4 linked regions of the Saccharomyces cerevisiae S288C genome follow. Changing the gene in region 3 together with the main gene of any one other region gives a genetic interaction. Each region holds a gene or a part of one and is shown on either strand. Other genes may lie near its edges. The genes, in order: LCB1, OPI1, SEC12 and BUD27.

The links.
Region 1: mutations in SEC12 (region 3) and LCB1 together harm fitness more than expected from each alone (negative genetic interaction), as found in Saccharomyces cerevisiae (2 studies listed by BioGRID).
Region 2: mutations in SEC12 (region 3) and OPI1 together harm fitness more than expected from each alone (negative genetic interaction), as found in Saccharomyces cerevisiae (2 studies listed by BioGRID).
Region 4: mutations in SEC12 (region 3) and BUD27 together harm fitness more than expected from each alone (negative genetic interaction), as found in Saccharomyces cerevisiae (2 studies listed by BioGRID).

What each region holds. Positions count from the first base shown.
Region 1 is NC_001145.3:858,661-862,816, forward strand, and holds LCB1 (serine C-palmitoyltransferase LCB1), read right to left. Parts: upstream 2,232-4,156; coding exon 555-2,231; downstream 1-554. Other genes in the region: GSR1 (Gsr1p), read right to left, coding at 1-230; carboxypeptidase C PRC1, read left to right, coding at 3,262-4,156. UniProt on the Saccharomyces cerevisiae protein: Component of serine palmitoyltransferase (SPT), which catalyzes the committed step in the synthesis of sphingolipids, the condensation of serine with palmitoyl CoA to form the long chain base 3-ketosphinganine.
Region 2 is NC_001140.6:65,702-69,473, forward strand, and holds OPI1 (transcriptional regulator OPI1), read right to left. Parts: upstream 1,756-3,772; coding exon 541-1,755; downstream 1-540. Other genes in the region: AIM17 (Aim17p), read right to left, coding at 1-158; APM2 (Apm2p), read right to left, coding at 2,030-3,772. UniProt on the Saccharomyces cerevisiae protein: Negative regulator of the transcriptional complex INO2-INO4 in response to phospholipid precursor availability.
Region 3 is NC_001146.8:672,774-676,635, forward strand, and holds SEC12 (Sar family guanine nucleotide exchange factor SEC12), read right to left. Parts: upstream 1,917-3,862; coding exon 501-1,916; downstream 1-500. Other genes in the region: MPP6 (Mpp6p), read left to right, coding at 1-196; putative pyridoxal kinase BUD17, read left to right, coding at 2,150-3,103; peptidylprolyl isomerase family protein CPR8, read left to right, coding at 3,404-3,862.
Region 4 is NC_001138.5:89,179-93,929, forward strand, and holds BUD27 (prefoldin-like protein), read left to right. Parts: upstream 1-1,807; coding exon 1,808-4,198; downstream 4,199-4,751. Other genes in the region: EPL1 (Epl1p), read right to left, coding at 1-1,167; FRS2 (phenylalanine--tRNA ligase subunit alpha), read right to left, coding at 4,321-4,751. UniProt on the Saccharomyces cerevisiae protein: Involved in gene expression controlled by TOR kinase and nutrient signaling. May also be involved in positioning the proximal bud pole signal.

The sequences.
Region 1 (4,156 bases), on a different chromosome or scaffold from region 3:
TCTTCGTTGGAAAAATAAGATTGTCTGTTCATGTTGTCGTGGAAGGTATCAGCAGCTTGTTCAAAAGGTTGGGCTTCCTGCACAGCGTCTAGAATAGGATCAGCAACGGAAGCAGTACGCATCTTCAATCTTGCCTTGTCATCTTCAGAAATCTTGACATCTGAGGCACGGTTCGCTCCGTCATGATCACTCGTGTTACTGATACTGGATTTCTTTCTAAAATGCATCATATTGCCTTGGTGTGCTGTTTTAACCTTGTTTGATGTTTGCTGTGTCTCTTGTGTTAGTTCTCTGCCTAGTGAAACCGAAAATGCTCAAGAAAGCGTACCACGAAAGTACTCCTTTCTTTTCTATTAATAAATAAACAAATAAATAATACAGGTTGCTTTGCCTCGATGGTAAAAGGAAAGAAAATTTCGGATCCGAAAATTTTTAGCGCATTCTCTGGGCGCCGTGCACCACGTCAATTTGACAGAGATGATGTTACGATTATTTGTATTATTGTATAAATATTTATATATATATGTGCGTGTGCATATACTGGCTTTCTATTTTTATTTATTAGATTCTTGGCAACAGGCAAGGATGGACTGCTTGACACTTTCGCAAGCATTTTTGAGTTCCTCTGGGGACATGGCGGCGTTACAGCAGATTTTCAAGCTAGGGACAATTGGTAGCGTCTCCTGTTTTAAAACAATAGTGTTTCTTGTGATGAGAACGTTGTAGTTAATAAGAGCATGATCTACTATGGACTGCAGAAATTTTTCCTCCTCTTCGTATGGCTCAATGAATTTGTTTGTCTGGGACTTCTTTTGCAAAGCTGACATGGTTTCGAATAGCTGTTCGCAGGTGTATCCGAACTTGCGAGACCTATATGCGGGAGTCAGTTGCAGATGTAGGACAGCAGACACTGGAGAGGACGTGACGATTACGTATGAACGCAAGGAGTCGTCAGATGCAAAGGAATCATGCAAAGATTTGGATAGTTTTTGCAGCGTCTGGACGGCGTCGTTGTTGGAGTCCATCAATTTCAAGACTTTGGAGACGGATGTGACGGTGTAAGCCGGCAAACAGGCAGAAAAACAATATGCATTGGAACCAATACGCTGGTGCAAACACATAACACTGTCACCCAGGACAAAACCACCGGTGGACCCCAACGCGGTGGCCATGGACCCAACGGTAATGTCAATGGCAGTTGCGCGATCCATGTTGAAGTGCTCTGACAACCCACGGCCCGTAGCGCCAAGAACACCAATGGAGAAGGTTTCGTCAACAAATAGTCTGAACTTGTACTTGTTCTTCAGCTTAGTCAACTCAGGCAACGGAGCTAAATCGCCCGAGTTGTGGAAAATACCCTCAGTGACGATAAATTTTCTTGGAATGGCGGGCAGTTTCTCAAGTTTCTCCTGTTCGGTCAACTCGTTTAATAAACATTCTAGCGAATTCATATCGTTGTGGTTGAAGTAGTAGACTGTGGATCTGCTTAGTTGCAGAGCATTTTGCACTGGTAATGACACCTGGTCGTCTGCCACGATAACATCACCACGCTTTGTGAAAGCAGGCAGAACAGAGGGTGCGGCACAAAAGTCTTGCCCGTACAGAACGGAACCTTGGGTGCCAAAGAACTGTGCTAAATCATATTCCAACGTGTAATGAACGTCCTGGTTACCGTAGAACCCGGCGGGACCACAGGCGCCCACACCGTAATTCTTGATAGTGGTCTTGACCACTTCTTTCACGGGCTCCGTAGCGGACAATTGCAAAAAGTTGTTCGAGGCCAAATTGAAAACATTGGTATACTTCTCCTGCAGGTTGTTTCTGGTGATAGTAATATGGTTCTGAATGGGCATTTCCATGGTGACGGGTGTTTTGGCCACCCTCCACGATTGCTCATCGGTGGCAGAAGGGTCGACTAGAGGCTCGGGCTCCCAGTCCTCAATTAGCGCGTCAATCTCCTGGGGCGATAGGTTGGGCTTCTGTGCTTGAAGACTCTTTTTCTGTTGTGGCTTGGACAAGTAATAGATGATCCCGTATAAAATAAGCCCTATCTCAACCGTGGTCCTGTATGGATCGTCATGATGCGATTTCTTGATGTACGAAACGATGAATTGGCCTCCCGGGATTTGAGTCAACACCAGATTGAAGTAGTACCATAGGTACGATGAGGTGGTAACAATAAATGCCGGAATCGGTATTGATTTGGGTAAAACCTCTGGGATGTGTGCCATTGCTTTTTTTTTTTGGGTGGGAAGGAAGAAAAAAGGATAAATAACCCTACACGAGCAAAATGTGTATATTGGAGGCCAGGCAGAAGGTTAGAGCGCTCTTATACTGTGCTACTCGATGATGTTGAAAAGAATTTTTTTTATTTTTCCTTTTCTTTTTCTTAAGTACTATATTTTCTCAATCTTACTTTCGTTCACTACAGTTAACCGCAGCAATATGCCCCTATAAAAAAGAATGAGTGAAAAATTTGTTAGCAGAGAAGCAAGAAGGAAAGAAGGAAAAAAAAAAGAAACCGTGTAAGAAATCATGGCGCCTCAAAAAAAAAAAAATACGCGAAATCGATTTCCGTATATGATGATACATATGTTAGGTCTCTTATGGTAGTTTTTAGGGTCTGTCCTGTTTTTTGAAGGCATTGGTTAGGGTCTAGTAAGTAACTCGTATAAAGAGATGTACTTTTATACGGTATGTGTGGCGGTTATTTCCAGTGTTTTTTTTCCCTTATTTTGTGGGTTCATGGAAATAGTACATATTGACCTTCTGCACAAGAAGCCATATTGACAGAGCAGTATGTGAGGACCTTTCTTCTACACAATGTAACAGTCAATGGTTGTAGTCAATACCACGACCTTTACGTGCAGTTTTAGAGCGAAACTTCGGTTTTTTGAGACTTACCTCGTGTTTGTGTCTCCCTGGGAATGGAGCCGCGCCACCCTTGTCTATTATGTATAGTCTTATTTAATCATAGCGATGTTGGTCATCCAGTACACTTCGGTAGCAACCTTCGTTTGTGATTGTCTTGGTAATTGCTTCCAACAACTTTATCCATCATTGAGACAGGGGCCATATCACCCGCGGGGTCTCAAAGAAGGGGCCCACTAATAAAAGCACGAGATAAGAATGCCAGCAAAAAAGCTCCGAAATAATTCTTTTCGTCTTCCCTCCTAGTCTTAACAAGACAAGAGAGAGAGAGAGAAAGAATACTCACTAGAGATTGTTTCTTTTCTACTCAACTTAAAGTATACATACGCTATGAAAGCATTCACCAGTTTACTATGTGGACTAGGCCTGTCCACTACACTCGCTAAGGCCATCTCATTGCAAAGACCGTTGGGTCTAGATAAGGACGTTTTGCTGCAAGCTGCGGAAAAATTTGGTTTGGACCTCGACCTGGATCATCTCTTGAAGGAGTTGGACTCCAATGTATTGGACGCTTGGGCCCAAATAGAGCATTTGTACCCAAACCAGGTTATGAGCCTTGAAACTTCCACTAAGCCAAAATTCCCTGAAGCAATCAAAACGAAGAAAGACTGGGACTTTGTGGTCAAGAATGACGCAATTGAAAACTATCAGCTTCGTGTCAACAAGATTAAGGACCCTAAAATCCTGGGCATTGACCCAAATGTCACACAGTACACGGGTTACTTGGATGTGGAAGACGAGGACAAGCATTTCTTCTTTTGGACTTTTGAAAGTAGAAACGATCCTGCAAAGGATCCGGTCATCCTTTGGTTGAACGGGGGTCCAGGTTGTTCTTCACTAACCGGGCTGTTCTTTGAATTAGGACCCTCATCCATTGGACCTGATTTGAAACCCATCGGGAACCCTTACTCTTGGAACAGCAATGCCACCGTGATCTTCCTTGACCAGCCTGTCAACGTTGGGTTCTCGTATTCCGGGTCCTCAGGTGTTTCCAACACTGTCGCCGCTGGTAAGGATGTCTATAACTTCTTGGAGTTGTTCTTCGATCAGTTCCCTGAATACGTCAACAAGGGCCAAGATTTCCACATCGCTGGGGAATCCTACGCCGGCCATTACATCCCTGTTTTTGCCTCTGAAATTTTGTCTCACAAGGACAGAAACTTCAACTTAACCTCCGTCTTGATCGGAAATGGCCTCACTGACCCATTGACTCAGTATAACTATT
Region 2 (3,772 bases), on a different chromosome or scaffold from region 3:
ATGGAGAACGTAATTGTCGTAGAATCTCTATTGAAGTATGTTTTGATGATATGTCCCCGATTCGCAGCCGCAGCTGTCGCCGCAGATGTGTATGTCCTTGGTGTAGTGGTCAGTCTTGCAAGGATTCGAGATCCTCTGCATAAATTTGATCTTAGCATCTTGTGTTGGTAATTGGTTTCTAATAATTATTTTTTCTTTTTAACTTGGAATATGTTCCTGGCCAGTTGTGAAGAGTTACCCCTGATATTTGGATCTAGAAGGGCTTCTCCTTATATAGATAGCACTTTTCCTCGAGGATCAACCCCGGAAATGTATTCCCGACCCCCTTACGGCTGCGCAAAGGTCCTTACTGAGCCATTCAAAGGTAAAGAGGGTCCGATAATAATGGTAGTTCAAAAGGGGAGAAGCGGGGCTGGTACAATATCACGATTATGATTATGATTATGATTATGATTATGATTATGGATATTATATAAACTATATTATTCCGTATAATATTATTACTGGTGGTAATGCATGAAAGACCTCAATCTGTCTCGGTTAGTCCTTGCTATCCACGTTGTCCTGAGAGGGCTTTACGTAATTGCCATCCTTCTGCTGTTGCTGCCTGTACTGTTGCTGCTGTTGCAAGAAACGCTCCCTGATCATTTCTTTTACCTCCTGTTTCTGCTTCACCCATTCTTCAGCCTTGCCCAACGTGGAGTCGACTACGCCCATGACATTTCTCACCATTTCCAGGGATTCTTTGGCGAGAATGAGTACTTTCCCATTCGCAGTTACGGAGGAGGACGGCGAGGCTGAGTCGTCGCCATCCTTGTTCCTTTTTTGCTGTTGCTGTTGCAGGAGTTGCTGCTGCAAAAGTTGCTGCTGCTGCTGCTGTTGCTGTTGCTGTTGCTGTTGCTCCACTTTTTGTTCTTCACAGTTGGCATAATGAAACGAAGCATGATGCGGCAGTGATGTACTGTGGACGCTGTCGAACCAATTTGTGGGTAAGTTTAGAAGACTTTCCCGAACCTGAGATCTTGCGGGCTCCGGCAGCGAATTTGCTGTGAACTTCGATATCAGCGAGTAGACTTTCTTGACTGTGCCGACCACCTCCATTTTCACCACAATAGACTGCTCGCTGGCGTTGACCTGCTCTGAGGCATCAAAAAACTCCTCATCGTCGTCGTCTTCGTCTGACGATGTCTCGTCCTCGCCAGCTCCAGTGGTCGTCCTAGCATTTCCATCTTGCTTGTGCAAAGGATGCACCTGCTCCTTTTCAACAAGGTCCTGTAAACACGAGATTTTATCGGAAAGCTGCTTATTGGCCAGCTTTAAAAGATGCAAGCACGTTACAAGCCTCTTCTTAGACTCGATGGACATGTTCAGCTTGTACTCTTTCAAGTTGTCCTTCCCCTTGGCAATCGCCCGCGACAGCTTCTGTCTCTTGTTGGTGAAGAACTCATCGTCGTTGTAGTCGTAATCATCATGCTCGTCATCGTCATCGTCTAGCAGCCTCCCTATTGATTTCAGTGGCCTCTTGTTGGTGTTTATTTCATCGTAGAATGTCACTACGTTACTGATAATTTTGTTACTTACGCGATCCAAAATGTTTAGCGGCGTCGTAGACGACTCACTTGCCGGCATTTTGTCAGCTTGTGAGACGTCCTCTGAAGGCTGCGACTTCTGTCTGCATGATTGTTTCAACACCCCAAGTACTTCAGCCGCTTCTACCTCTTCCTCTGATAATCCTAAACGTTGATTTTCAGACATCAATGACTAGTATCTTCGTTAAAAACACTGTCCTGATACACACGCTTTAATCAGCACTGTAAACAAAATGCCACGTTCTGGCCTGATATGCTTTCTTGGCTAAGTGCAGATCGCTGTCTTGCTCCAATCCTCTTATTAATCCCTCTCATTGAGGTGGAAAAAAAAAAAATAAGAACGCCCGATTTTACCCGGTTGCATATGAAGATTATAAGGTGCCATCTATATACTAAAACGAACGTACCATTTGTCTATCTATGAGATGTCTGCGTAAGCGTCAAACAATATATGCGTACTCTTCGTCGCTGACGGTCTTGTATCTGACCCAGGGGAAAGACTGGTACTGCAATTGTGGCTCTTCGACCTTCAAGTACTCAACTTTCAGGCCACTGCATGTACAGTACGGAATCTCGAAATCAATGTTGACCAACTTATCTCGAGGAGTAACGTGGGAAGTTTGTTGGTCGTGCACTTGTCTATATAGTTCTTCCAGCCTGGGTCCCGTGCGCAAGGGCGGCGGATTCATTGAGGTTTTCATTTCTTCTTGCAGGCGGTCATATTCTTCCTGGTTGAAGAGGGGGAACTCTGCCACCATGGATGCACACGTATTTGGATCATCTTCGTCGCTGTTGTACTGTGAGCTCTTGTTTGTGCTATGTTCTCGGTGCCCCTTCATGGTTTGTATCTCCCAGAGGAGAAAATCGTCACTCAAGTTAAACACGACCTTGCCGATGTTTGCCTTGAATCTAATTTGCTTGCTGAGGTCTATTTTATATTCCTGGAAGACTTTTGTCAGGGGAATTCTCACGTTTAGCTTCGACGTTGAGTTGGTGGGTTTAAAATTTGTTTGAATTTTGGTTACAATTTGGATTTTAAACTTCTTCAGTTTAGGTTTGATTTCAAAATCTTTCAACCTCACCATCGGCGCATCCTTTACATGTCTCTTCAACTCGTATTGGCAAAGAACAAATTCGCCATCCGGCGGTATAAATTCGATTTCTCTTGCATCTGTGGCGGCCTGCAAACCAGCATCATCGTCACTATTCTTTTCTTCATCTTTTTCAATAGTGTTTATGGAATCTAGTGAAACACACTGATGAAAGCTGGAATTCGACATGAACTGGGGGTCCCTGTTCAGTATCTTGTTTATGGATATTTTCAGTTTGGGCATCCCTGATAAATAGCATCTGCACACAATCTCTCCATGTATCAGATTTTTCCTAATCACTCCTTTTTCAAAATCCATCAAGTACTGAACACGTTCAATAACATCAAGAAAGAACTCGTTTTTGGCGTAATGTATCCCCTTTGTTCTCCATGATATGGGCATTATAATCGTCTTCGCAATATCGCCATTGATGTATAAATCATTACCGTCATTGGGGAGCTCGTCATTAGCGGCTTCTTTACCGGTATCATTCTTGTTCCTTAGTGTCTCCTTGACAGTTTCCACCACGTTTATGCCCCTATTTTCTTTATTGTTTACCATTATACTTTTTAATTTACTTTTGCCCACGCTTTTCCCTTTAGTGCCCTTTTTCTTCTTCCTTTTCTTCTTCTTATCCTTCCTCTTATTAGTATTGCTGTACTCGCTATCGCTATCGCTACCGCTACTACTACTGCTCTCTTCACCAGGGCTCCACTCCTCATTGTCTACTGTAACTCTTGGTACGTTGACCTTCACACGAATGTAGTCCTTGATGATACTTGGATCCGTCACTTGTACGATACCAAAGTCTATACATTCATCAATCAACTCCAGGACAAGTAAGATGTTGTCCAGTATGACATTCTTAGTTAAGACCTCGATTTCAAAATATTTTTGTAAAAGATGATAAAATTGTTCCAAAAAGGCTAGTATAGTCATTAAGTCTATATTTGGTTTGTCTGTGGTATGTATCACTGAAACGAAATGCAGAAAGTCTCTCTTCAAATGTATAAAGAACCAATCGTTTTGGGAGAGAATTGGAGGCGACCCGTCATGATAACATTGTTTGAAACTTGAAAGAACCGACGATAG
Region 3 (3,862 bases):
TGGTTCCAGGAAGAGAAAGTTTGATGAAGGCGAACAAAATGAAGACGAGAAAAGGGATGCTAAGGATAAGGAATTTACAGGGAGCCAAGACGATGGAGAGGATGAATATGACCTAGATAAATTATTTAAGGATAGCATCAAAAAGAAAAAGACCAACCATAATGGTAAAAATAAAAATAGAAATTCAAAAAAGTAGCGCAGACAATGCACCAGCAGAAGTACGTATTCGTATATAATAATGAGAACATAATATAAAGCATTGTGTAGTATTTTTTTCGTATTTGTCATAAACCATAAGGACTGCCGTCCTTTCTATTACGCTCAATTCCAAAACATATACAAAAACATGTAAATACACCACTTCTAATTTATCAGATAAATCTCTATCATCAATATCATTGAGATCGTTTTTGTATCTTTGCGTTTTTTTTCATAGCTTGAGTGTCGTCACTCTCCTTTTCGCTACTTCATTATTGCTACCTCATAACTTTCTCTCAAGCTCAAGCATCATCTATTTCTCGAAAAGTTGCGTTGGTGATCTCAAACTCTGCCCCTCCAGTATTAATAATGTTACTTTCAGTACATAAGACTTCAGTTCCATTCACAGAACTCGTCTCATGCACGCCATGCACTTTTATGGAATCTACGCTAGGTACAGATGTTTTTGTACCGTGGTTGCCAAACAAAGTTGTTTGATGTAAGTCTTCATCAACTACGTAGGGCGAAGAGATGGTGTCTCTTTTCGTTAGAAAATTGTCCTTCGCGTAATTGAAAAGCATGGAATGCAAATTGTGCTTATAGGAGAACTGTAAAATGTAAGAAAGCAGCACAATAAGGATGAAGTTGGTGAAAAATTTAGAGATTTTTTGTTTCATTGAGGTGTAGTTGGCGTAGTTAAGCGGTAATTTTATTATGTGGATAGTGTTGGCTGCCGAAACACTCGCCACATATGTAGAGTCCGGAGAGATAGTGACCTCTGTAATGGCAAAACTATGAGCTTGTTTGAATATTTTAGACATTGACAGGTCTTTTAGTTTCACAAGAGCTATGGAATTGTCATTACTTGCCAGTACCGCCAATTCACCCTTCATGTCGACATCCATAGAAGTAATCCCTTTGAATCTGTTTGTCACTTGTTTGGATCTTAATACGGAAGTGTTTCCTGATTTGATGCTTATTTTGGTCAGCACAATACCTTTCCCTTTTTTTAAAGAGGCTGCTATCAATACTGTGTCATCGGCTATGAAGTTTATTTTAGATAAACTCCAATTCTTATCAAAATCTGTTTTCCTAGCAATGCAACTTCCAGTCACTGTTGAAATCACTTCCAAGCTAGAACCGGTGATATAAGCAACAACCTTACCATCAGTGGAAAAGTGTAAATCCTTTACTTCACCCCTAGTCTCGATCTCAAACTTCTCTGTCAAGTCGCTCGGGTCAATGATTCTCATTATAGCAGGTACTTTAGATGATGCGATAGCTGCAACGGTACCTTCTCGTGAAATATAAACCAGCTTCGTGTAGTCATCCGCATTTGTAGATGCGTCAAAGTCTACACTAGTGAGGAACTCCAATTGATCATTCACTTTATCGTATTTAAATTTTCTCAAGTGCTTATTACCTTTACCTTGGGTAATCTTAGTGCTATTTTCATTGCAGCCAACCAAAATGATACCCTTGGAAGCGTCAATTGCAGTAGGAGAGTCGTCGTTGTCTTCCAATGCAAACTCGCTCAATATATGAAACTGTTCCTTCTCAGTATCTTTGGTAGGATCCACGCGCAAGACCGTCAGCTTGTTTGGTATGCCATTGTTTCCTTCTCCTCCACCGCCTGCCACAAGTAATGTGTCGTTATTCAAAAATTTTGCACCGTACGCAGGATACCCGACGTTATAACTAGCTGTCACGAACTTCATAGTGGCTCGATTGTATCTCAACCTTGTTATATATCTGTATTTCTATCACGTATCCTTCTAGGTTTCTGTACACGTTTTTGAATTTTTTGGATTTTTTTTTTTTCAACTTTTCTTTTTTCCCTCATTCTTACTCTATTGTCATCACCATTCAAGATAAAGATAATAACTAGCTTTGAGAAATTAGACCAGACGCAGTGGAAGGTTGAATACATGCCTGTGTGAGGGTGGTGCCAATGACCAGTACATTACATACGACAAAAAAAGTGCTCTCCATTCAATCACACGTCATACATGGCTACGTGGGAAACAAGGCCGCTACGTTCCCACTTCAATACAGAGGTTGGGATGTGGACGTATTGAACACAGTTCAGTTTTCTAACCACTCGGGGTACGCCCACTTCACAGGCTTCAAATGCAGCACTGAGGAGTTGGTAGACATTGTAGAGAAGGGCTTGATTGGGTCTCTTAGAATCAAGTATGATGCCGTACTTAGTGGCTATTTACCCAATGTTCAAGCCCTGCAAAAGGTAGCAGGAATAGTGGGTCAATTATGTGAGGGGAGTGAAAACGTCAAGTGGATATTAGATCCTGTACTGGGCGATAATGGAAGGCTGTACGTGGATCGAGAATGTGTTGCGGTATACCAAGACATTTTACAAAACTTCAAAATTTTTTTGGCCACACCAAATCAGTTTGAAATGGAACTGTTGGTGGGGATGTCAATTCGTACCTTAGACGACGCTAAGCAGGCATTTAAACTATTTCATAAAAAGTACCCTCGAGTAAGCCGAATAGTTGTCACTAGTCTGGAATTATCTGAATTCCTGAGCAACGACACTTACGTAGTAGCAGGGTTTGATTGCTCGGCCAGTGAAGAGATATTCTTCTATGAAATCCCCAAGATCAACGCAAAATTTAGTGGAAGTGGTGATTTAATCAGCGCCATGCTCACTGACTCGTTACTAGGCGACCGCCGCTGCACACAGCTGTCATTAAGCGCATCCTTGGGCCAAGTGCTGTGGCTCGTCACCAGTATCCTACAAAAAACGTATGATTTAAACATAGCTGAGCGGGGCCCACAAGATTCCACGATAGATATCAAGGATTTAAAGCTGATTCAGTGTAGAGACATCCTAAAGCAAGATCTCATACCCTCCATTGGCAAGCCAAAAACCATTAAAATATGATTCTTACGAAACGGTATGCTCCTTCCTCATTGGGGTGCGGCTGCTGCAGGAACCTGCCTAAATAGGAAAATACATTCCTGATTTGGAAACTGTAGGCACACGACGCGTCCCTTTGGAGAAGATCGATCCTTCTTTGGGTCTTTCAATTTGATTGGAAAAAAAATATTTAAAAAAATAGAAGAAAAATATAGAATATATAGAATATATAGAATCAACTACTGCAGTAGATAAATAAAGAAGACTATTCATATTCAGTATCACAATTGAAAGATTATTACAATTTGTATACATTGGTTCCCAATGAAGAGCTTTTTTCTTTATCTTTATGTGGCATTCATGTTTAGTTGCATAACGGCTCTGCCATTACCTGTGGATAACAAAAGGGCTTCTTCAGACTCCTTAGACCTAAAGAAAAAATACGCACCAGACCCTCCTATTACACATAATGTAAACATCGGAATTGTTTTCACAGATCCTGAAAGTTCGGAAGAAGCCGGCCGTCTCATAACAATAGACTTATACGGGACTATGGTGCCCAAGACAGTAATGACTTTTTGCCAGTATGTTGATAGTGTAAAAGATCGCCTTGCTTCCCGTCACAGTTACTCGCCAGAACGCGATTTTGATAAAATTCTACCGAATGGAGCTATAGAAGGTAGCTCCGTTTCTTCCTCCTCTATTGAAGAAACGGAAATGTTGGCTCCAAAACTCCCGGAAGAAAATCATAGTTTAATTCATGATAGGCCAGGCAGAGTTTCC
Region 4 (4,751 bases), on a different chromosome or scaffold from region 3:
ATCGTCTTCTCCACTAATGTTCAAAGATCTTTTCAAATTCTTAATTTTTACCCTTTGATCGAATATTTTTAATTCATCATTAATCCAATTTAGGGAAACGTTCTCACGTTTAGCAACAAGCAGGGCCAAGTCCTTCGCGTTTTTCAATTCTTGATGCAACGCCCTTAAACGCTGACTGTTTAAGATATCTATACGTCTTGTTTTCCGCGGATGTCTCACTTCTCTTCTTCTGAAACAGACGTAGGGATCAATCTCTTCTTTTTCACCCGGCCTTTCAAATTTCAGCTGCGGAAAAATTTCGTACCCGTTAACTTCAATTTTTCTTTCTCTCCAATAATCATAAATTTTAGAGCCGAACTTCTCTATCAGCTGAATTAAAGGTCTCGTATTCATTTGAGATACGGGGTCGAATTGTGTGATAAAATGTGTTTTATGAGAATTTATTTCATGATTCAGCTGGTTTCTTAGATTGAAATCAGCCATATCTGATTTTATTAATGTGGGCTTCAATTCTTCAAAAGAAAGTATACTTTCCGGATCCATACTCAAGAATGGTTGACGCTCGTGAATAGCATGTTCAAAACTGGAACAAAGTATTTCAAATTCGTCTTCAGTTAAAATGTCTGATGAACCTTTGTTGACTTGTTCATTTAAAAAGGTCTCATCTCTTTCATCCATATTGTAGTTGGTACCACAGCAATCCTCCACAGTGGCAGAAAATTTGATGTAGCTGGTGGTCTCCTGGAAACTGCCCGTATAAAACTTATCATATTCATTCCAAGTCATAGAAGCATCCGGGGTCGGAATATAGTCTTTGTGCTTTGTATGACCAGAACCCATTTGTAATATTCGATGCAAATGGACCTCCTTTTCTTCATTTTTTTCTACACCAGTTTCGATCTCAACCACCTCTCTCTGTTGCAATTCATCTTTATCCAGGTGTTTCAGATCGTTAGGCAGATATATCTTAAGATGTTGCTTCACAGATATTTTTCGATGTCTAAATCGACTATTACTGCTACCAGCACTGGCTCCAGCACCTGAATCGCCTTTTGAGAATGAATCTAGACCGTCATCGTGCGCACTCCTAGATCCAGACCGCCTAGTGCTTCTACCAGATTTATGCGAACCGTCATTGATCTCTATAGCGTTTGAAGGTGTCGGCATCGTTATTATCGTTATTTGCTAATGTTATTACAATGTTTTTATAAGCACGTGACTATAATGTTACCCTATCGTGTGCAATTTTTATTTATGTTGACCTGAAGTCCGCAGTTGCCGTACAATGTGAGAATATGGACAAAAGGAAGGCGAGGGTGGCAAAAAGAGGAGTCAAAAATAGATAGCGTTTATTTTATTATAGCAGCTCAGAGGAACGCGATGTGGTGTAATAATATTGCGAGTGTCTAATGACCACCAGAATACGAGCACAGTTTTGGCTGATTTTTGCAAACTTTTTTGCTTTTGTGTAGTAACCTCTCACAGGTATTGCTTGTATGCTATACCATGTGATATGTAATAGTACAATTTTGTGGTCGGATCGTGCTTTTGCCACCCGCGGCCGACGGAGAAAATTTTTTTCCTCTATCCCTTTGTTTCTCGCTTACTCCTGCGGTATGGGGTGCTAACTATGGTGAGCGAGTATGGGAAGAAGTAGCGATATACGGGTAACCCTAATGTTTGGGTGTTTTGAAATTTATCCTTGGAGGATAGGCGATGAGCTGCTCTTAAAGGTTTTAACAGAGAGTGTTGTATGAATATTCTGTAGAATTTTATAGTAAACAGGTATCCTCAGACTGTAATAGCCATGGATTTGTTAGCGGCCAGCGTAGAAAGTACGTTGAAAAATCTGCAAGATAAGAGAAACTTTCTTTCGGAACAAAGAGAGCACTATATAGATATCAGAAGCCGACTGGTTAGATTTATCAATGACAATGATGATGGCGAAGAAGAAGGCGAAGGCCAAGGGATGGTGTTTGGTGATATCATAATTTCTACGAGTAAGATATATCTAAGTCTAGGCTATGAGTATTACGTTGAAAAGACCAAAGAGGAGGCCATCACGTTTGTTGATGATAAATTAAAACTAATGGAGGACGCCATTGAGCAATTTAACCTGAAGATCGAAGAGGCTAAAAAGACCTTAGACAACTTGAATCACATGGAGGACGGAAATGGAATTGAAGAAGACGAAGCGAACAACGACGAAGATTTTCTGCCCTCTATGGAGATTAGAGAAGAACTAGATGACGAGGGAAATGTCATAAGTAGTTCCGTTACCCCTACAACAAAGCAACCATCACAATCGAATTCCAAAAAAGAACAGACACCTGCAGTCGGTCCAAAGGAGAAAGGATTAGCAAAGGAGAAGAAATCAAAGTCATTCGAAGAAAACTTGAAAGGAAAGTTATTGAAAAGGAACGATGAAGTAAAGAAAAAAGTGCAGCCATCTAAAGTAGATACAGAAAACGTGTATACATTTGCCGACTTGGTCCAACAGATGGACCAACAAGATGAATTGGAGGACGGCTATATTGAAACTGATGAAATAAATTATGATTATGATGCGTTCGAAAACTCCAATTTCAAAGTCAATGATAACTATGAAGAGGATGACGAGGACGAAGATGAAGAAGAGTATCTAAATCATTCTATTATACCTGGCTTTGAAGCGCAGTCCTCATTTTTACAACAAATTCAACGCCTACGCGCACAAAAGCAATCCCAAGATCATGAGAGGGAAGAAGGTGACGTTAATAAATCATTAAAACCTATTTTGAAAAAGTCTTCTTTTGCTGAGAATTCAGACAAAAAGCAGAAAAAGAAACAAGTCGGGTTTGCATCTTCTCTAGAAATTCACGAAGTCGAAAACTTGAAAGAAGAGAACAAGAGGCAGATGCAATCCTTTGCGGTGCCCATGTATGAAACCCAGGAAAGCACAGGTATCGCTAATAAAATGACATCGGATGAGTTTGATGGTGATTTATTTGCTAAGATGTTGGGTGTCCAAGAGGCCGATGAAGTGCATGAAAAATATAAAGAGGAACTGATAAATCAAGAGAGACTTGAAGGGGAAGCAAGCAGGTCGAATAGAAGAACTAGGGTGTCCAGATTCCGGAAGGATAGAGCTTCTAAAAAAGAAAATACGTTATCAACTTTCAAACAGGAAACGACAAGGTCAGTGGAGAACGAGGTAGTGGAAAAAGAGCCTGTTGTGGGGGATATTATAGAAAAAGAACCTGTTGTGGGGGATGTTATAGAAAAAGAACCTGTTGTGGGGGATGTTATAGAAAAAGAGCCTGCTGTCACCGATATAGTGGAAAGGGAGCCTGCTGTCAACGATATAGTGGAAAGGAAGCCTGTTGTGGGGGATATTATAGAAAAAGAACCTACTATCAACGATATAGTGGAAAAAGAACCGGAAATTAACAGCAAGAGCGAGTTTGAGACTCCTTTTAAAAAGAAAAAGCTAAAATCACTGCAAAAACCAAGATCATCGAAATCAATGAAAAAAAAATTTGATCCCAAAATTCTCGAAAATATAAGTGATGACGATTATGATGATGATGACGATGGTAATAAGAAACTTTTGTCCAACAAAAGTAAAAATAACACTGATGAGCAAGATAAATTTCCTTCAAAAATCCAAGAGGTGTCTAGGTCGATGGCTAAGACGGGCGCCACAGTAGGGAGTGAGCCGGTTAGAATTACAAATGTCGATTATCACGCCCTAGGTGGAAACTTGGATGATATGGTCAAGGCATATTCATTGGGGTTATATGACGACGATTTAGAGGAAGATCCAGGAACCATAGTGGAAAAGCTCGAGGATTTCAAAGAATACAATAAGCAGGTGGAGTTGCTGCGTGACGAAATTCGAGACTTTCAACTAGAAAACAAGCCAGTGACGATGGAGGAGGAGGAAAATGATGGCAATGTTATGAATGATATCATTGAGCATGAATTTCCTGAAAGTTACACAAATGACGAGGACGAAGTAGCACTACATCCGGGCCGGCTACAGGAAGAGGTTGCTATAGAGTACAGACGGTTGAAAGAAGCTACCGCGTCGAAATGGCAATCATCATCACCCGCCGCACACACTGAAGGCGAATTGGAGCCTATTGATAAGTTCGGGAACCCGGTCAAGACAAGTCGTTTCCGCTCTCAACGGCTCCATATGGACAGTAAACCATAACCCATATGGAGACAGAAAGTAAATCAGAATCTATATTAACATATACGTATATATTTGTTTTGTGTACAATAACTACTACAAAATTGGGGACAGACGATATAAAACTAGAGGAACTGCTGAGCTTATTCGTACAAGTCTTCGTCCAATCTAGCAGCAGGATTGGTTTCGATAAAGTCCAAAGAGACTTTATGACCTAACAGTTCTCTGATGTTTTGAACCTTATATTTGATCATGGTAGGTCTTTCCAAGGATAACCCCCAACCAAGGACTCTTAGATCCTTTGGTAGACCCATGGACTCGAGCATTTCTGGTCTGAACATACCAGAGTTACCGATTTCGACCCATTTTTGCAAACCTTCGTGCCAAGAAAAGATTTCCATTGATGGCTCGGTGTAAGGATTGTAGGTAGGCTTGAATCTCAAACCGGTGACACCCATTCTTTCGAAAAACTCTTCCATGAACTTGATCAGGTCACCCAGAGTAATGTTGTAGTCGGCAAGAACACCTTCCACCTGGTGGAATTCGGCCAAATGGGTGGCGTCAACTGCTTCGT